3 linked regions of the Arabidopsis thaliana genome follow. The protein of the gene in region 3 interacts with the protein of the main gene of each other region in a pairwise test. Each region holds a gene or a part of one and is shown on either strand. Other genes may lie near its edges. The genes, in order: KNAT6, KNAT2 and ATH1.

The links.
Region 1: the proteins of ATH1 (region 3) and KNAT6 interact in a two-hybrid assay, tested with the Arabidopsis thaliana proteins (one study listed by BioGRID).
Region 2: the proteins of ATH1 (region 3) and KNAT2 interact in a two-hybrid assay, tested with the Arabidopsis thaliana proteins (one study listed by BioGRID).

Annotation. Positions count from the first base shown.
Region 1 is NC_003070.9:8,296,791-8,304,480, reverse strand, and holds KNAT6 (homeobox protein knotted-1-like 6), read left to right. Parts: upstream 1-1,880; 5' UTR 1,881-1,988; coding exon 1,989-2,309; intron 2,310-2,447; coding exon 2,448-2,576; intron 2,577-2,677; coding exon 2,678-2,816; intron 2,817-6,492; coding exon 6,493-6,734; intron 6,735-6,823; coding exon 6,824-6,982; 3' UTR 6,983-7,190; downstream 7,191-7,690. Other genes in the region: MENG (S-adenosyl-L-methionine-dependent methyltransferases superfamily protein), read left to right, coding at 7,588-7,690. UniProt on the Arabidopsis thaliana protein: Plays a role in meristem function. Contributes to the shoot apical meristem (SAM) maintenance and organ separation by controlling boundary establishment in embryo in a CUC1, CUC2 and STM-dependent manner.
Region 2 is NC_003070.9:26,574,834-26,582,566, reverse strand, and holds KNAT2 (homeobox knotted-like protein), read right to left. Parts: upstream 6,082-7,733; 5' UTR 5,933-6,081; coding exon 5,660-5,932; intron 5,420-5,659; coding exon 5,285-5,419; intron 5,212-5,284; coding exon 5,073-5,211; intron 911-5,072; coding exon 669-910; intron 578-668; coding exon 422-577; 3' UTR 136-421; downstream 1-135. UniProt on the Arabidopsis thaliana protein: May play a role in meristem function, and may be involved in maintaining cells in an undifferentiated, meristematic state. Probably binds to the DNA sequence 5'-TGAC-3'.
Region 3 is NC_003075.7:15,914,067-15,919,737, forward strand, and holds ATH1 (homeobox protein ATH1), read right to left. Parts: upstream 4,088-5,671; 5' UTR 3,474-4,087; exon of another isoform or gene 3,323-3,473; 5' UTR 3,140-3,322; intron 2,823-3,139; 5' UTR 2,808-2,822; coding exon 1,959-2,807; intron 1,867-1,958; coding exon 1,523-1,866; intron 1,431-1,522; coding exon 1,370-1,430; intron 967-1,369; coding exon 799-966; 3' UTR 604-798; downstream 1-603. Other genes in the region: AT4G32970 (BRISC/BRCA1-A complex protein), read right to left, coding at 1-234. UniProt on the Arabidopsis thaliana protein: Transcription factor which may be involved in the signal transduction pathway downstream of the COP1 gene. Controls floral competency as a specific activator of FLC expression. Is responsive of the nuclear import of SHOOT MERISTEMLESS (STM).

The sequences.
Region 1 (7,690 bases), on a different chromosome or scaffold from region 3:
TTAGAGCAACCAATAGTTTGCAAGTACCTTTAAGATGAAAATGACTTTCTCTAGTCTTTGAGAAAAAAAATAAAAACAGAAACAAAGTTTATATTAAAGTAGTATGAAAGAACATGCCACTTTCTTGATTGAAAATTATATGATAGACGTAAAAAGCTGTCGACAAAACTAAAAGAATAGTTCCATTCGAAATATTATAGATGCTCTCGTTCTATTTTCTTTTTGGTTAAAGTGCTCGTTTTTTTCTTGATACTCTCTTTAAATTACGGCCAATTTCATAATTTCAAACTTAATACATATGTAAAATCATTAAATATACCAAATTATGCTTATGTCTATTTTTGTGAATAAATTACATAGTTCATTTTCATAAGCTAAAGTCATCATGAATATCAGCATCATCAATTTTGGCATAAATTTCATAAATCATAAATTAGCTAAGACCATTGATTTTGCAGCTCCTATACGCCTAGACCAGCGTTTATTTTATTCTTAGTTTTATCCACAAACTTGCTTTATACAGAACTATTCTAAAGTAAACACTAGCTGATACTATATACTAATTTAATCTTAATTAGACGATTTTCCATTAGGGCCTTCTTATCTACTATCTAGGAACGGACCTTCGCTTCTCGAAACCCATTTCATCCCGTACAATCGAAGTGTCCAACATCCGAGTTGGTAAAAAATTTCTTACTACGTAGTAGGTACTAAGAATCACTTATCATATCCATATATTCTTCACATTTGATTTATTTCATACCATCATTTGAATATATATGTGTTGATTATCATTTTGTTAGTAGTCGTGTTCGATAATTTTGTTCTGTATCTAGCAACAAATTTACAGTGACAAGTATTAAAATAATACCGCTCTTTAACTATATATATGTATGTATCAGCTCACTAGTTGTTTGTAACCAGTTCTTGTTTTTCCAGTTTGATATATTCGATTCAACATACCCAAAACATCTCTCATATACTGAACTAATATCTATTTCTAATTGACTCGATTCAATATCATTAGTACTATATTATCTTCTGATATGCGACTTCATTTGTTTTCTTTCTTCTGTTCGGTTTTCCACTTGTTGTTTAACATTTTCACCTTGTTTCACTATTTGCAATCAAATAAACGATTTATGTAGGTGTATCTATATATGTTCTTAGGATCATAATAAAAATATATTTTCTACAAAGTTTTTCGAAAATATATATACATTGGGGATTATTTTTTTAACTGTCTACAGCTCACACATGCATATTATCATATTTGAATGAAGATAACGATACAATGCCGATACTGATACAAATCATTATGTTAGATGCTCAATTTGTTTCTATAGGTCCTATAATATATACATCAAGTCATCAACTATACTTTTTGAAAAGAAAATTACACAGAGCTTTCAAATAAGTTGCGTGTAGTTTAGTGGTTATATGTACTAGTAGTTATGTTACCATCTAAGTGTATTGTCGATGAGAAAAAAAAGAGTTCAAATAAACTGACATAGTATGCTGGTAAATAATCACACTTTTTCCGTTTTTTCCATTTCGTTTTCAATAATATATAATTTTGTTTCTCGCCATGTTTCATTGATATTAAAAATCTCATGATCATGCAAATTCTATCATAACACAGCCTTGGACCTTTCTTAGATATATATGTTAGGAAGGCCTTATCTCGACCTATGAAGCCTGAAGCTCCATTGAGCCTTTTAGCATATGTCCTTTTTCGTAATTATCATTTTATTTTTCTTCTCCGTTAACTTTCATATCTTTTTTCTTCCAAAAGAAAATAAATTAAGATCCCTCGAGCCTCTCTCTCTCTCTACACACTCCCATAGAAATAAATATTTTCAAGAACCAAAAAGTTTGTTATAAGCGGTTTCATATTATTCTTCTTCATCGATTCTTGATTTTGCAAGAAGACAATTCAAGAAAGCGATTTAGAAGACGGAGGAGTTCTTACCGGAGATCTTATACTTATGGATGGAATGTACAATTTCCATTCGGCCGGTGATTATTCAGATAAGTCGGTTCTGATGATGTCACCGGAGAGTCTCATGTTTCCTTCCGATTACCAAGCTTTGCTATGTTCCTCCGCCGGTGAAAATCGTGTCTCTGATGTTTTCGGATCCGACGAGCTACTCTCAGTAGCCGTCTCCGCTTTGTCGTCGGAGGCGGCTTCGATCGCTCCGGAGATCCGAAGAAATGATGATAACGTTTCTCTAACTGTCATCAAAGCTAAAATCGCTTGTCATCCTTCGTATCCTCGCTTACTTCAAGCTTACATCGATTGCCAAAAGGTGATCGTTAACTCTTTCTTTTTTTATCACTTAGATAAAATCTAGGTTTTACTTTTTAAAGATAAAGATAAGATTGAGAAGCTTTGATATTTGATTGTTTTTTTTATAATTTTATGGTTTAACAATTTCATAATTTAGAAACAGGTCGGAGCACCACCGGAGATAGCGTGTTTACTAGAGGAGATTCAACGGGAGAGTGATGTTTATAAGCAAGAGGTTGTTCCTTCTTCTTGCTTTGGAGCTGATCCTGAGCTTGATGAATTTATGGTCTCTCTCTTTTTTTCCCTCGATTTTTTTTCGGATTTTTATTTTTGTTAAAATATTTTTTTTTGGAAATTTTTGTACTTAAGAAGATAATTTATTATCAGGAAACGTACTGCGATATATTAGTGAAATACAAATCGGATCTAGCAAGACCGTTTGACGAGGCAACGTGTTTCTTGAACAAGATTGAGATGCAGCTACGGAACCTATGTACTGGTGTCGAGTCTGCCAGGGGAGTTTCTGGTATGTCTTAAATTATCCCTCTCTGGTTCGGTCTTTTAGTGGTTCTATTTTGTGGTTAGTTCTGAATGATTTCTTTTGATCTTTTCCGTGGTTTTTCATTAATAATATCCTTTCCTCGATATTTCCATAGGGTTTTGATTCATATGACCAGTTTCTGAAAAATGATTGGTAGCTTGTTGATAGAATAACCCTAGGCTTTTGAAGTGATCAGAAAGCAAAATAGATAAAAAATGAAAAAAAAGAAGATAAACCCTAGCTACAAGTTTCATTTCCATAGCTATTTTTCCCTTGATGGGTTTTGTTTTGTGTGTGCTTTTCTTTTGGGCACGTTGAAACTCTGGAGACAAAGATCTGTTTAAGGTGTTGTGCAATTATTTTACTCGTTCATTTAATGTTTTAGCCATGGGATTAGGGTGTTGGAGTGTGGTGGGGATTTCCTCTTCTTCTTGTTGTTGATCTTTGTGCTAATCATACAAATTTTACTTTATATCTTTTTCTCTTCTTTCTCTGTCAGAAAGAAAATGGTGTAGAAAGCAATAAACTTTTGTGGTAGAGATTCTGATTTTGACGTTTCAGAGGCTTGTTGCGTACTGAATGTTTTTTCAACTTGTTGCTTTTTTCTAGTGAAAAACCAATTGACAGAAAAACCTAGTCATAACTTTTTAACAATATGTGTAGTTGATTTTTCATGAGCTTCTTTTGCTTCACTTCTCGTTTAACAATAAGTAAGTATAAGTACTAGTCATAACTCATAAGTCGCTTCACTCTTGTTTATGGGTAACAACCTTATTAGGTTACCAGTTTTTCTAAGACTTCAACTTCTTTTGGTCAGATGATTATTAATAACCAATAAGCCATAAGAGTTATTAGCTGTAATTCCTCTTTAAGCTCATTCACAGATTCTCTGGATCGGAATTAATAAGCGTGTTTAGATAATTTTACGATTAAATTTCTGTTATATCTTAATAACACACCATATAATTTTTCTATCTAATTAAATAGGTTAAAACAATAAAGTTAAAATTGTATTTTAAATTTAATATAGAAGTCTACAAAACGACATTCTTTGTGAAATAAAAATTTAATCCTGAATTCGACATTTATTATGAAGAACGTAACTTTGGTCTATTTCAAGTTTCAATGATCTGAGAACAAGAGTAGGGAGATTTTTGTTGATCATCGGAAATAGTATCATTGCCAAGTGGCCACTCTTATCTGCATGTTCTTGTTGGAGTCTTGTTGGACTTATATGTAAGTAATAAACCAAAACTGACTCAATTTTGAAGCGATTTAAAAGTCTAGGTTTTATGCTTATACATGAATGAAATGCTTCAAATAAGTGACTTTCTTTGTGGTTTACTGATATTATCTCTTTAGACCACATATTGTACTACAACTAGCAAAAACATTGTGGCCATAACAAATCAACCGATCAGGTTAGCTAGAAATACTGATCCTTAGGAGTTTTTTTTTTAATACAATAAAATAGAAGAAAAACTCCAGCTGAAAGAGTTAGCTGTAAAGAAATGAAACTCCATAGATTGGTAGACTTTTTTTCAGCTTTGCAGGAGTTTTCCATTATCGTGGTCGATCTCAAATGCAGGTTCCACTTGTACTTTGGTAATATTGTTTATTGGGGGAAAAAAGCTGCTGATATATAAAAACATATCAGCTTATCTTTATAAACTAATCGAGAGTTAGCATAGAGTATCAACTGGAAAAGTTGAAAATAGATCGATGCAGGTTTTCCATAATGGACGAATGTTTATGATTAATAATTTTAAAATTTGTTCAAAGTACAACTTGCCTTTTTGAATGATCTCATCTGTTTTTTTTTTCTTTGGTTGTGTGCTTTATTTAACCATCTTTTTCTTTCACCTGAATGAAATCATAAACTAATAAAGAAAAAAGAAGCTTACAATTGTTAGACAATATTCACATGGGATGCGATGTTATCTACTAGTTTCTCAGTTCAATCACATGCTTGGTTTCTTTCATGTTGATCTGATTTAGTAATACAAGTTGATCACATAGACTTTTGATTTCTCACTTCTTGGTTGTTGTGATACGGTAATGCAACTTAGCGAAAGCCCTTCTTTGGACTAGCTAAAAAAGCAACACATTCTTTTCTTCTAATGCGTGGTTATCTTGCTACTTAGAGTGGATGGTCTCTTATTGACTTTTATAGTCAACATTTGTCTTGTTGCATGCAATATCATCAATGTTACATGTTTGCATATTTGATCTAGAAGATAAGAATACTGCAACGAGAAGAATAGGAACATAGTGCATGATTAGCTTGAATTAGAGGTTCTTTTGGTTTTTGTTATAAAGTAAAAGGTGGAAAAGTCACATGGACTCCCGTGGATTCCGCTAATGACCCCACCAACTTTCTCTCCTAAGATTTTATTTTTGATTTGGTTATTAAAAAAAAAAGGAGACATAGGGTTCTCTACACACCACAATCAAATCATCTATAAGACTGCGACTATGCTTCTTCTCTATCTTTCTCAACTCTTTTGCCATGCCCTCTGGTTGCGTTGTTCCCTTGGTGGGTCGTATTATGTCTCTCTGAGGCACGCTACTAGCACGTGTCTACTTGCATGTTACCTTCTTCAGTGAACCCTATTTTCAAAGCAGTCAATGCATTGCTGAAAATGTAAATAATAATCCCAACCATACAAACTATCGTTTTTTGCCATTAAACTGTTACCCTAACTACTCATATGTGTGTAATGTGAACGTAATGGTCTCTATAATATATGATCAGTTCATGTTTTATGCATTTTAGTATATTTTTATTGGCCTATTTAACATCTCTATTTCCTTCATAATTACTGTGGCTGCTGTAGAAATCTTTTAACTTTTATAATATGTTTATAAAACTGACTGAATTGCGTGAATTATAAATTGACTGAAATTACCTTGGCTGTTGTAGAAATCTTTTAACTTTTTTTAATATATGTTTATAAACTGACTGAAATTGCGTGTATATATTATGTAGTCCAGTATTTTGTGTGACTGACTAAATATTTTGACTAAGCACGGTTGCTTGGTCCGACTATATATTCTGTCACATAGGCAAAACTATTGTAAAATCAGGTAATGTTCTTGAATCGTCTTTGGGTTGAGTTTTGGTGTCAGAGAAGCTGGGTAAGTGGGTCAGTAGAGTCGTTGGGGCATATATATAAATGTCCAAATACATTAAAGAAAGAGAGAGAGAAAAGGAAATTGAGTTTTGGGGTATCGTGGAGAACATAAATGAGAGGTGTAGCGTTATTTCCGGGGGTTCACACAACCTCTAAATGGTATTTACACGTGTCATATTGAGATTGGGTAATTAGTAGGCCTAAGGGGGGATGTCTCCTCATGGGGACAAGACTATTAGTCCTCTCCTGACAAATGACAATGGAGGTAACTATTCACTGCGGCGGTTTTTTGACTGCTGCACTCAATCGTGTGCGTCCTCGATATTCTCTACCCCTTACCACTCTTTCTTCTTTCCCTTTTTTGCCCTCTTTAGCCACTTAGCCGTTTTAGCCGAGAAAGCCCATTTAAACTTTTTCATGGTAGTGAATAGTGATAATTCTGTTACATTTACTTGCTATAACCTATAACCATTCTCTGTCTTTGATGTCTTTGTATAGTGATAATTCTTGTGAATTTGGTGTAACAGAGGATGGTGTAATATCATCTGACGAGGAACTGAGTGGAGGTGATCATGAGGTAGCAGAGGATGGGAGACAAAGATGTGAAGACCGGGACCTCAAAGATAGGTTGCTACGCAAATTTGGAAGCCGTATTAGTACTTTAAAGCTTGAGTTCTCAAAGAAGAAGAAGAAAGGAAAGTTACCAAGAGAAGCAAGACAAGCTCTTCTTGATTGGTGGAATCTCCATTATAAGTGGCCTTACCCTACTGTAAGCAAAAGCAACACTTGCATGTTTTCCGACATAACTAACCACTACACTTATATATAAATGGGTGGTATGAATGTGTGTGTACACAGGAAGGAGATAAGATAGCATTAGCTGATGCAACGGGGTTAGACCAAAAACAAATCAACAATTGGTTTATAAACCAAAGGAAACGTCATTGGAAGCCATCAGAGAATATGCCTTTCGCTATGATGGATGATTCTAGTGGATCATTCTTTACCGAGGAATGAATTTATTTATGGTACTTATTTAACGTTGATTAAAAGATGGATGTATAATTCTGCCTTGCTTTGCCGACAAAGGAAAAAAAGAAAGAAAGAGTGAAGCATGGACGACACATGAAATGGATCTTACACTCACTCACATGTAGTAGAAGGAACAAGTCAAAATGCTTTGTAACTATTATTATCGGTGAATAAAAATAACCTCTTTTGTCTTCTCCGGACCTCTCGTGATATAGCTTTTACCCTCTTATTGGCAAAACGTTGAACAAACAAAATACTTAGATAGGTTAGATTTGTTTATTAACTATGTGTTTTTCAAAAATAATTATAAAATATCTTGTTATTTGTGTAAATCACACTAAATTAAACACATTCTTTTATTGACAGTTTAATCATCATGTACATTTTGCTAATTGTAGCCAAAAGTTTAGCTATCTAGCAATTGGAACCTTGTGCCCATAATCCAACCATCTCTGTTTAAATTTTGGGGTGGGTTTCAAATTATCCTTATTGGGCCTAAAATCGGCCCAATATTAAACTGAAACCAGACTTTTATCCAATCCGAGTAATCGGAACAAAACAACATGATCGTGTGAACCAACGGCCAAAAAATGGCGGCTCTACTCGGTATCGTCTCTCCTGTGACTTTCACCGGAAAGCACCCGGTAAATTCCCGATCGCGACGGAGAACGGTAGTAAAATGCTCGAACGAAC
Region 2 (7,733 bases), on a different chromosome or scaffold from region 3:
TGATCAATTAGAGACATTGATACAAGTAGTATAAGTAGGGCTGGGCATAAAATCCGAAATCCAAAAACCGATCCGAAAAATCCGGCTCCGAAACCGAGCCAAATAGTCACAAAATTCGAATGGATAATGAATTCTTCTACCCGAATGGATAATGAAAATAAATTATTTAGTTGACACATCAGCTATCTAAGTAAGGTTCAATACAAATAAGAAATCTATCAATTTGGATGATTGGAAGATTAGTGACATAATATTGCCACTATTTCCAATACAATGTCTCGTTACGCCCTTGACCGTTTTGGCTAACGGGTTCCATTCATTCGCGATGATGCCCCATTTACCAAAAGCTTTTTACTGTTTTCTTTTCTTGGAAAAACAGTGTAAAAATTATACAATGCACAATTTCATGTCTCTCTTTTCATTACTCGGTAAAGAATGTTTCATTAGAATCGTCCATCATATCAAACGGCATGTTCTCCGAAGGCTTCCAATGGCGTTTCCTTTGGTTTATAAACCAATTGTTGATTTGTTTTTGATCCAAACCTGTTTCTTCAGCCAGAGATATTTTGTCGCCTTCCTATACACATTCGAGAGGCGGATATTAATATGTCGAAGAAATAAATTAATGAGTGTATGCTAGGTTACGGTGGAATCAGAAAGACACTTACAGTAGGGTAAGGCCATTTATTATGAACATTCCACCAATCGAGCAACGCTTGTCTTGCTTCTCTTGGTAGCTTCCCTTTCTTCTTCTTTTTAGAGAACTCGAGTTTCAATGAACTGATATGGCTACCAAATTTGCGTAGTAGCTGGTCCTTCAGATCGCGGTCATTGCTTCTTTGTTGGCTGTCATCCGCTGCTATGTCATCATCTTCTCTCAGTTCCTCGTCAGATGAAACCGCACCATCATCTGCTCATACATGAGAATAATGTCATACAGAAGATTCAATAATGATTAGCTCCCACGTATTAGCCAAATACGTGCCATACCGATAAAATGTACTAGGAGAATGTATGGTGGTGCTATTTATGGTAGCATATTTGACAATGTAGAAAGCAAATTCTACCACTATGCCAACACTAACAAACATAGCTAACACTAAGATACTAGTAGGCTCGGCTAAATGACTAAGTGGCTAAAGCAGCTAAAAGAAGAAAAGAGCCAAAAAAGCATAGAGAAGAGAACAAGGGTGAAAGAAAGGAAAAAAAAAAAAAAAAAAGGGTGAAAGAAAGGGGTAAAAGGGGAAAAACAAGGATAGCGAGATAATATCGAGGTTTTACAAGACCCGGGCACAAAAATGATCAGTCAAAAACTTTCGCAGTCACTGAATAGTTTAGCTTCCATTGCCACTGACGTGCTCCTTTGGGACTTACCACTAGCCACCTGAGTCACGACACGTATCACCTTTCTGACACTTGTTTGAGTGACCCCCGGAAAAAACGCTTCCCCAACATTTATGAACTTTCTCATAATGCCCCATTTATGACCATACCATACTGACCCCTATGTTACTGCGACTAAAAGGGAGCCTAATTAAGGGAGTTTAAACATGATTAATGGTCAAATTATTTGCATTAATAGAAATTTCACTTAGTATTCTCAACTTAGTGATTACAGAAAGACATCGTTTCAAAGTCTCCCTAAAGAGTTTAGGTTGTAGTTTGCTACACCACTAATGAGCTGATCCTTAGACAAATCACACAAAATATAGTTCACACCCTATCCATGAAAACTTTGCTAGTTGAGGATGGTATGTGCAATAGTAACTCGGTTTGTTCTTTACCTATTAGCCGAATTTGGTTCCTATATAACATCAAGACAATGCGAAAGAGACAACATGCACTGATAAAAAAAAAGTAGATAGACTTGTACATCTCCCAAAAAAAGTTAAACACGTGGAAATTGCATGGCCCATTAAGGGAACAAACGCAGAGAGGAAATGACAACCACTAAGCAACAGTAGAAAAAGATGTGGAGAAACATTAGTCGTAAGATGATTGCATTGTACATAAATCAAAACCCATGTCTCTCCCCTATTTTCTTCTCTTTCTTTTTCTTTAAAATCAAATCAAATCTTAAAAAGAGAGTGTTGCGATTGGGTCATAAAGGGATCCACCAACGTAATCCACGGGAGTCCATGTGACACTTGACCACCTCATGCTTCTGTCTCCAACTTCTTCTATTTAGAAATTAAAAAGGGCTAAAAGATTTCTAATTCAAGCATTTGGGTGTGTTTTTTTGTGCGTGTCAAAAGGACCATTCTATCAACGAAGGTGATATAACCAAACAGATTATCAGTATTATCATGTCTAGAACTGGTGAAGTAACTAATGTGCCATGACAGAGTATTTTGTTCAAAAGAACATGCTTTTCGAGTTTCCTACGAACATTGAATGAATAGAATATCATTCACAGCCAAAGATATATCTAGGGTGAATGCATAGGGACCTAGGGTGAATGCATTTTACAACACAAAAATACTAGTTGTAGACTGTAGTGAATAATCTTAAACAATAGTCCTAAATTCCACATATGGATACAAAATCGCACATGGATCTCATTGTATCAATACACCATCCGAACACCAAATGATTAGAAGAAAATATGAGGATGGAACAAAAACCATGGCCAAGATTGACCATCTTAATCACGAAAAGGGTCAATTGCACACTAAAGCGAGAACGAAAAAAATAAGTAAACACAATTGCTATGACAAACATCAGTTGACTAAAGAGGATTTGGTTTATTCCTAAAGCATATTAGCACGAAAAGAAACCAAAAGCACATGACTCTGAAAACTACATATTATGAGTTATACTATTAGTTTAAGATATTCAGTTGAAAAGAAAGTCCTTTCTCGGGACTTAAGAAACAGAAAAAGGTATTGACCAAGGAAAAGATGTTCATAAGGTAATATATATTCCTTCAAAATCATACATGAGATTACGCTAAAAAGGTAAGTGGTACTTCAAAACCATTAAAAAACTAAACATTCGTCCAATAAAGATAAATTCAAGCTGCAAGTGATCTGTTTTTCAACCTTTTGGACAAGATTATTCCCTATGTAAACTCCAATTAATTAAGTACGCTGATAAGTATTAACAACTTTTCGGAATTAAACAATGCTAACAAAGTACAACCGAAGCAGCATTTGATATCAACATATAAGAAAAAGAAGACTATTAAAGCTGAATTCCACTATATTGTAGTTCCAATTTTTTTCCAGCTAGTTCTTATCAGGTGGAGATGAAGAAGTAAAATGATTACTTTAAAATCCCTAAGATAGTGAAATACTTTACTTATAAAAAATATACACACGTATTCTGACAACATGAACGTGGCTAAGTAGATTAGTGTAGATTAACAAGAAACTAATTTTTGCCCTGTTGGAAAGGTTTAACCAATATAAGCTACAAAAACAACACAAAGACAACTAAAATTACATTCTTTTAAGAAACCTACTATTCCTTATTTGGGCTGCTTGTAAAATACTTACAAAGTTCTATTCTGCTTAATTAAGAAAACAAATGGTGGAAAAGAAGGTACCATTAAGTTTAGTTTAATACCTCGGCAAATTAGTAAACCTCACTTACATTGTGTAAGTGTCTTAATGCATTTCAATCATTTATTTATTCACATAAAATTCCAACAAGAATACAAGAATAACAGACACATTAACCACGACATGCAGAATATACAAGCCTCTTGGCCATCAAGCATTTTTATGGACTTACATGCGCATGAGCTCAGATTAACTGAAATCCAACAGAGATTTGGTTTAGCTTTTTCGAGCTAAAGAAACACAAAATCCAACTATTTGACCTGATCAAGACACTTCTTTGGTTTACTAAGTCAGATAGGTTCGTGAAAATTAATCACACCAATGATTTTGTACATGTAATTTGAACACAGTGGACTTCAAATGTAAGACCCTTAGGTGCAAATACAATGTATTCAAAAATAAGGGCTAGTGTCATTAATTTTCACATACACTAAGAAAACAAATCAATCTTATGTTATACTCATTATACACAATAAATTTTTATCTCTCTAATAGTAAAAACTAAAGTGACATGGATAAAACTTAAGTCTGACACTTTCTATGGAAAAGTAGTATAAACTTTGGTTCATTCACCAAGAGAAGTTGGAGTAATCAAGAACTAGTAAAGTTTTGTTTTACCCATCAGTCTCTTAATGAAGATGAAAACAAGCGATACTACTAGAGATCTAAACATGAAGCCAAGGACAAACTCAAGAAAAATCAGTGGCATTTATTAGTGGAAGTTATGACTAGGTTTTTTCTCTATGATTGAATTTTCACTGGAAATAAGCAATTAAAAAACTTCCAGTACGACACTGAAACGTCAAAATCAGAATCTCTAGCGCAAAAGTTTTTGCTTTCATAGACCCATATTTTCTTCTGACAGAGGAGAAGATAATAATACAAGTATATATAAAAGTAACAAAAGAAAAGTATACCATACCAAAATCACTAGGAAAATAAATATCACTAACAGAGAAAATCCTACCCACCGGCTTTCCCCTAATATCCGCCCCACAGCTTAAACCATAGCTAATGATAGAAAATAAATGTCACAAAGATGTGTGAAGGTCATGGATCTATCTAAAGCATGAATGACTTCTACCAAATATAAAAGATGTGGCTGAATCAATCATTGTTTTCTAACAAAACTAGGGTTTTAGAGTTTCCTTGTTTTTTTCTGACTTTTATTGCCTTGGGTTGTCTAAACCGGATCTACTAAGCTCCTCCTAGTTTCAGCTACAACAACTTATCGATTCTCGTTTTCTTTAAGGAAAAAAAAAACAGTAGAAGATTTCCAATTTTTCCATCAATTCCAAGAAACTGATCATTGAAGCACAGAAAGGAAAAGTTATCTGAGGATAGATTTTCTAATCCGCAAGATCTGTAACTGTAAGGAGAAATTTGCGCAAGGATTTTAAAGGACACACAAACCGAGGATAGTGCTCAAAGATCAATAAAAACACTAGCTAGGAAACAAGAAATCAAAAGTACACTCGAACAAGAGATAGATATCACTTTAGTGCTGACCTGAAAGAGCTGTAGCAGACGCTGGACCAGTGCACAAGTTCTGAAGCTGCATTTCAATCTTGTTTATGAAAGTTGTAGCCTCGTCGAACGGCCTCGCAAGATCGGTTTTGTATTTAACCAATATATCACAGTAGGTTTCCTAGAATCACACCACAAAAAAACAAAATTATATTTTAAGAAAAACTAGAAGATCAAAGTTCAAGGCAACGAACAAAGTGAGAAACCATGAATTCATCAAGCTCAGGATCAGCTCCAAAGCAAGATAATGGAGCAACATCTCTCTTGTACACATGGTTCTCTCGCTGAATCTCTTCCAATATACACGCTATTTCCATAGGCGCTCCCACCTGTCAATCAATAACCAAAAAAAAAAAAAAATCACTCTCACATATAAACACAGTCTCTCTAGTTCTCCAATCTTATCTTAGGGTTAAAGTGGAATAGAAAAAAAAAAGTAAGAGAACTATCTTTAAATACGACGATGAATACATGTAAAATTCCTGACGCTTAATCAAATTAACCTTGAAAGCACAAAATCATACACAACAAGAAAAAGAAAAGACAAAACACGAAAGCAGCGAGATCACCTTTTGGCAATCGATGTAGGTTTGGAGTAAGCGAGGATACAAAGGATGAGAAGCGATTTTGGATTTGATGACACTAAGAGAGAAATTATCCTCAGCTTTTCGAATACGCGGAAGCAACTCCGAGGACAAAGCGGTAGCGAGTTCGTCGGATCCAAACAGTCTTTGATTGTCTCCGGTGGTTGAACAAATCAAAGACTGATAATCGGACGGCATCATCAACGTCGCTTTCTCCGAATAGTCTTCCGTCGAGCGGAAACCACACATTCTATCCATTAATGTGATCGTAGTGAGATACGATCAGTGATCGCCGCTTCTTCGATCCCTAGCCTTGTGCTTGCTTCTGAAGAATATGAAGAAACACAAAAGTAAGAAGTAACAAACTGCTTCAAAGAGAGAGAGAGATAGAGACAATGGAAATAGATAGACTGGCCAAGTTGAGGCGGTCTCGTAGTATAGTAGTCTGAGGGCAATGATCGTAAATATTTCAGCAAAAAACCAAAAAAAAAAAAAAATGATTTGTGACGAAAAGCAAAAAAAAAAAAAAATCACGAATATGAATTTTCATAGTTTATTATGATAATTTACAAGTTTTTCTTAAAGACACCATAATTTTTATTTTATTTTGTCGTACTAGTATAAAAGAAGAAAGATTTCAAGGGTTTGCCATATGTGTTAAGGAATACGATTCGAGTGATTATAAAAAGATTTCTTCGTGATTCAAGAGCACTTTTTTTAACTGTACGATTACATGGTTACGATTATTTTTGATATATAATATTATCGCACAAATGATCAAAATAGCACGCTAACCTTTAGAATTTATGACTTAGCTAATGAAGACAACAATTAGTACTTGTTAACAAAAACAGGTTAGACGATGGTAATTTGAATTTTGACAGTAAAAACAAATGATGGTAATTTTGTTAATTAATAAGCTTTTTGTTTCAATTACGGTGGCCGACACCTACTAGGCTACTACGATTCTAGTTGTCTAACCGGATCGGTTCAACTTCAATTTCACTCTTTCAATTTTCACCTAGTTTTGTTTCTCTGTAAAACACGTCTATGGTAGCTAGGTGCTCATTATCAATCACAACATAGTAAACAATTTTTGTTTTTTAATTGCTTTCAGTCATTTGCTAATTAAACACACTCTTAGGAACTATTTTTTATAGTGGCCACTCCACTTATCGCACTTCTTGTTATTTTCATAGAGAATCTGTTAGTCGCGTATAATATCAACTCAAAATGTTTCATTACCTTATATAGTAACAGAACCTGCAGTTTTTGTCATAAACCAAAATCCATCTATAAACCCTGTTGTAAGAAAAAAAACTATATTTTTGCATGGGTCTACTCCAGACCCGATCCGATGATCCATATCGTTTTTTCCGCAAAAAAAAATAAAAACAAATGTCATAAAGGTCTTTTTGATGATGGACAGGTTTGATTGACACATCCGTCGGACTACTTTGGTGTGAAATTTAACTGACATAAAGCTTTGTTTTAGTATCAAACCTTATAAAAACGACAGAACTTTCCTTCTCTCTCATTTCACTTCGTTGGATCGTATCGTATTGAATCCCCACCGGTGGCCTTCACAGCACATATTTATATTGTTTCTAAACTTTTCTGTATTTTTTGGGGGGGGTCACAAGTTTCTATAATCTATATGATCACTATCGTCGAGAAATGATTGCAAAAAAAAAATGTGTGTCTTGCAGAAAAAATAATAATAACAAAAAGTGACGACTAAATTATTAGATCAAGTGCATATAATTATGTTGCTAAGATAATATTGTACCACTCGAATGTTTCATCATGGATTGTTCATACTGTTCCCGTGATTTAGTGTTGTTAGGTTTCAATTCTTTGTATTGAGGTTTTTGTTAATATATTATTGTACCACTCGGTTGCTTCAACTTTGTAGGAGTTTATTGTCATTCTTTTTTGTATCTCATATCATCAATATGTGGTTTTGAACAAATTTGTTTCTGTTGTTAGAAATGTTACTGAAATTGGAGATTACTTAGCTTCTTATGGATTTTATTTATTTATTTTGGGAATCCCAGGT
Region 3 (5,671 bases):
GGTAGCGAAAGCAAAGCGATGATCGGAATTTCTGGAGAGCTTGTCGTGGATAAAGCGAGTAATGGCTAGCTTGAGGCACTCGAGCCTGTTCAAAGGCTTACCGTTAGTTCCAGTGGTCTTCATCTCCACCGTCGATTCCGCATCAACATCGACGCATATGAGTATGTCTTCGCTGGGTTCCACCGAGTCTCGAGTGGCTACAGCTCCGGTCATGGTGGCTCTGTCTTCCTCCATTCGCCGTAAAAGGCTCCGTCTTTACACTTTCTTCCTCAGTTTTAGCAAAGTGTCTTCCTTTTCCTACTTTCTATTTCTAATTGTGTCCGTACCAGATGAAAACGCTGCGTTTTTATTAGTTGACCGAAGATTCTCAAGTCAAACCAAAATACGACGTCGCTTGCTAGGAGATTTTCGTCATTATTCATTTCAGTTTTTGGAATAATAAAACTCACTTGTAAGAGAAAAAAAGTTAAATGCAAACGGTGAAATAAAACTTTAGGTTTGTATTTTGTAGTTTGTTTGAATAAATATGAAAATAAATCTTCAGTGGTTACATACTTTTTATATATTTTCATGAACTTAATTTTATTTTTACGTAAAAATGGTGATCATGAAGTTTAATGAGGATGATGATAATTATGATATAAGAATACAGGATAATAAAATGAAATAGTCAAAGATAAAGGAGTTGTATATACAATTATAACATACGTAATGATAGTCGTACATGGTTTAGGTTTTGGGCAATCATAGAGTAGCAATTGCCTAATTATCACAAAGTTGGTAAACACAATTGTTGTCTTATTTATGCATTGCTTGGCTCATCATAACAGATTTTGGCATTCGAAGAGTTGGTCCGTTGGGTTGAATGTGACTGTTATTGAGCTTCCTCTTGTTCATTTCCGCATACATCTCTTCTATCATCGGCTTCCATAGCCTAACCCGCGCATTTATAAACCAGTTTGATACCTTTAATCACACACAACAAAGAGACACACTCTATATCATTTGCCCGCTTTAACTTACTTCAGTAACAAAACATATGTGCGACTACAATCCTAGGACTTGAGTAACATTATTGTGAATTCAAGAATACATAATCTAGTCTCATTTGTAGTTCAAGAGAAAAGCTTGATTTTTTCCTAGCCCTAATCTCATCTTAAAATAACCAATACCGGTTTTTCAGACATGACTAGTATGTCAAGATATATATTACTCATTTGAATACCATATTTGCTATCATTGTGAGCAAAGATGTTATCAATAAGTCATTGCATAAGAAAACAAAGATCTTATCAATGAGTCATTGCATAAGAAAACAAAGCTTGTTATCAATGAGTCATTGCATAAGAAAACAAACATGAGACATTACCTGACTTCTTGTCAAGCCACTTCGTATAGCTAGAAGATGTTTCTCCGAATCTTTCGGGTAACTGCATTAAATAAAACATAACTTTGCTTATAAAATCGAGTTAACAATGTCATCATCATAAAGTAGATAGTTAAGAAGAGTAAGGATTGTTACGGGTGAAGGAAGTTTTGGAACATCCAATTCCGTAGAACCGAAACAGATTTCTCAGGCAAACCTCGTTGAGGTCTCCAAATCTGATGGTTCTTTCGTTTCAGCTGCTGAAGAAGGCAATGCTGGTGGAACATAGAGGTTTCTTGAGTCTTGTCTTTGCCTCTCTCCAATACAGATCCCATAGAGATTATCTTCTTGCAGATTCTCTCTCTCAGGTTCTTGTATAAGAAGGAAACGGTTTGGAGGGCAAACCGGGTGTGTAACTGTGGATCTAACTCGGTTGCAGCATGGAACGCTGATATAACCGTATGAATCTCATCTACGCAATGACTATATCGATCATCCACCTGAAGAGAAATATCAACTCATAAAACTTCATCATATATATCAAACCATTTTTTTAACTTATGCAAAAAAAGTGAATGAATATATTACATACCATTTGAAGAAGATCCAAGAGATGGGTTTTCTTTGCTTCTAATGCTCTCCTTTGAAATGTAGATCCGAAACCCGCCTCCGAGTTATTAGAATCACCATCAAGAAACTCAGTTATATTCTCAAAACGTGAAGTAAAGGCTGAACTAGCAGCTCCTGACTCGGTTCCTCGAGATGAATAATCGAGCGAGTATGCGGCGAAATGAGATAGTATTTCTTGAACAGAGTGAAGGTATTTTGAGCCAAATATAAGTTGAGAGAAACCTTGAGTAACAACGTTATTAGAAATGTCTTTGCTGCTGCAAGAAGCTTGCTCTGAGGCTAATCTTGTAGCTGCACAAAGACTTATCTCCGAGCATTCATCAGAAACATCTGATGCAAGACTCAATGAAAGCTCATTGTTTCTTTTATTCGAAATTAGAAACGGGAAATCTTCTTCACCGAATGTAGACATCATTGGTTCACTTGGACCAACTACACCTGAAAATGCCTGAAACTCACTATTTGCTTCAAAACCCCACATGTTGTTTGAGGAATCATCATAGTGTCTTAAATGATCCAAAGGATGAAGTGGAGGAGGATGAGGAGGAGGAGCCATGAACTCAACATTGCGGTTATCTTGAACATCGATAGACCGTGGAGAAGATGATAAGTATTTGTTAGTCAGCATAGAATTGAAAATATCAAAGCCACCCATTTGTAGAGGATCTGATCTGATGGTATTCCATGGAAGCATTGTTGAGAATGAAGTTGAATCTTCTCTTGAAGGTATAAAATCCATGAGAAGAGGATTTTGGTTAGTCATGACATTATCCAGAGAACTAAAAGTGTTGTTGTTGTTGTTGTTGTCCATTGGGTTTCTATGAAACTGCATTACCAAAGAAGACAAGTATTTAAGACTTAGACAAAAGATTTCAGAAAATCTAAGAAACCAAATCTTTGGAGAATAGTACTAAATGTAAAATGCTGCAAGAGACAGAGAACATCGCTCACTATGTCATTAAATATTTCATTAAAATATATAAAGAACCGAAACATGAGTTAATGAAGCCGTAACTAGGCTCAATGATACACAGACCAATAATATCTCAAAGCTATCTGTGATAAACAGTGAACTAATAAGTAAAAAAGAAAGCTTTAGATTACTACAAATGTCCATAGAACATTAAAAATGTTGAAACTTGCCTTTATCCTTCTTCTTCTGATAGAACCTTTGGGAAGATTTCAGACAACACAACGTTCCAAAGAGAATTTTTACATCAAAATTTCCAAAATGTGTGTTAAAAACTGAAGAAGAAGATAATGCTTATTTATCTTCTTTCTCCGTGAAAGAACAGTGTACTTTCATTCCGCAGCTTCTCTATGTTCCTAAAGAGAACCAAAAAGCAGAAATCAACAATAAAGTTAGTATTCATAAATTAAAGAGAACAAAATAATGCAACAAAACTGAAAAAGAGAAAAGTGGGTCTGATTAATCTCTTTTGCATGAACGCAAACACTTACAAAAAAAATTACTTACTTTTTCTTACAATAATTTCATGAAGAAATTCATAATCTTCATCATCTGCCTCACTAAAAGATTCAGAGCACTAGATCAACAAATAGCAACATTTTATAACTAAATAAACAAACCAAAAGTTGTATTATCGAGGGGAAAAATACAACTTTAATATTCAAGAAAGAAGAAGTTGAAAAGAAGGAGGGCCAAATCACGTACGGAGCTGCCTCTGTTTATGACACGAATCCATTTTCATATCTTTAAGATCTTCCGACCAAAAAAAAAGATAAATCAGAATCAAGAAAATCTTATATATAATCACTTTCTTAAAATGTCATTTATTTAAAATGTTGTTCATAGAGAAAGAGATGAATCTAGTAAAATTATCTAAAGAAAATATATGGTTGAAACAGAATCGAAATCCAAAAAAGAAATCCAAAGACATGAAGAAGACCGATGTGTTACTGTTTACTACAGAGAAGTGCACTCATTTCTGTTGCAGGCTTTAAATTAGGGAAGAGACCCTACATTTTACTATTTACATGTCTCTATATATATATATATGTATGTGTCTCTATTTATAAAATTTTATAAAGTTATAAGAAAATGGTGTTGTCTTCTTGTGCTGGTTTCAATTATCACAAATCAGAAAGAGGGAAAAAAGTAAAGAAGGGTGAGATCTTTTTTAGCCATTTAAGGAGAATTGATGAGATGTGTGATCCATTTGGGTTCTTGCTTTTTCTTCTTTCTTTTCTCACCACTCGTGTCTTTGTATTGTGCCATCAAATCTTATATCCATTTACGTATTTTTTTCATATAAGTTTTTTACGTAAGCTTTACAAAAATATCAATCAATTTGCTTGGCCTTTTCTTTGATTGTTCCTTTCTTATCATTTTTATTTATTTATTTATTTATTTTAAGTTCAATGTGTCGTTATGTGTTACGTCTTTATTATCATGGCTAATGATGATGGAATTGAACTCTATTACTCGTAGACTATATAGATTGCAACATCTGAAATTATGCTCTTCTTTATTACAACCAAAAGAAGAAGAAAATCTAATGGTACTTGATTTGATCTGTATTAGCGTGACTTGATCTGTATTTTAAATAATGTTAATGGTACTTGCCTAAACAATGACTTTCTAAGCTGGTATGAGACAAAGAAAAGGGTCAAGGACAAGTATCTTGCATGGCCACTCCAAGCAAAATTGGATATTGATTTGGTGAAACAGTTATTGTTGTTCGTATAGGACAAAATTATTTTCAATAGAAATCGATAATTATTGATATCATATCCTTATTATTGTTTGCTTACAAGTCTATATTATTTAATAGTTTGAAATTTTGATTTAGTAAAGCAGAATAGTATCAATAACACTAGGAACTATAGTACCGACTATTAACTGAAGCTGGAATGCATCTTTAATCATGCCTACGATCTTAATCAATAACACTTATTAATGTTAGACTATTAGACCCGTGCTCATAACTTTTGGGTCCTAGGCGAATTATAAAAGTTACTTTTTTTTGTTGTCTGATAGTCCAAACAAGAACTTGTAATGCTTTTTCTAAAATGAAACAAAATGTACGTTGGCTATGGAGCCTATCGACTCCAGCACCAGCAGATGCTTAATCTACTCCATAGACTAGAGCGCTTTTTATCTGAAGTCGTATAATTTCCCAAGTCATTTGGCTTAATTATTGTGTATCAACTTATACTATATGCTACTGATGTCTTGCTTAGAATATTATACAAGTTCATTGACTTAGAATTATATATAGGCAGACTAAGCAAAATGGGAATAAATGATCACAGAGGGCATTAACTAGTTCACTGAGGTTCAACAATCTACTTGATCTTAACTCCTTTCGAATTAATATAGAAGTCGAGCACTTGAGGATCAGAAAACACACATTCATTCTCAGTGTCTGAAGCACTTGAGGGTCAGAAAACACACATTCATTCTCAGAGCGGCGTATAATTTTAAGATGTCAATCGCTCTTACGTAAAGATCGATAGCCATCCACCTAAACATATGCAATACTCCTTCTGTGAACAAGAAATTTATTGATAAAACCAAGTGTGTTAGCAAGTTAATCTTTACATAGAAATCAAGGACTCACTCTTAATGACCAGCAAAGTGTGTTAGCAAGTTGAGTGACCAGCAAAATTCTAACCCTAAAAAAGTAATGTAGAAAGCAAGCCCTCATTATC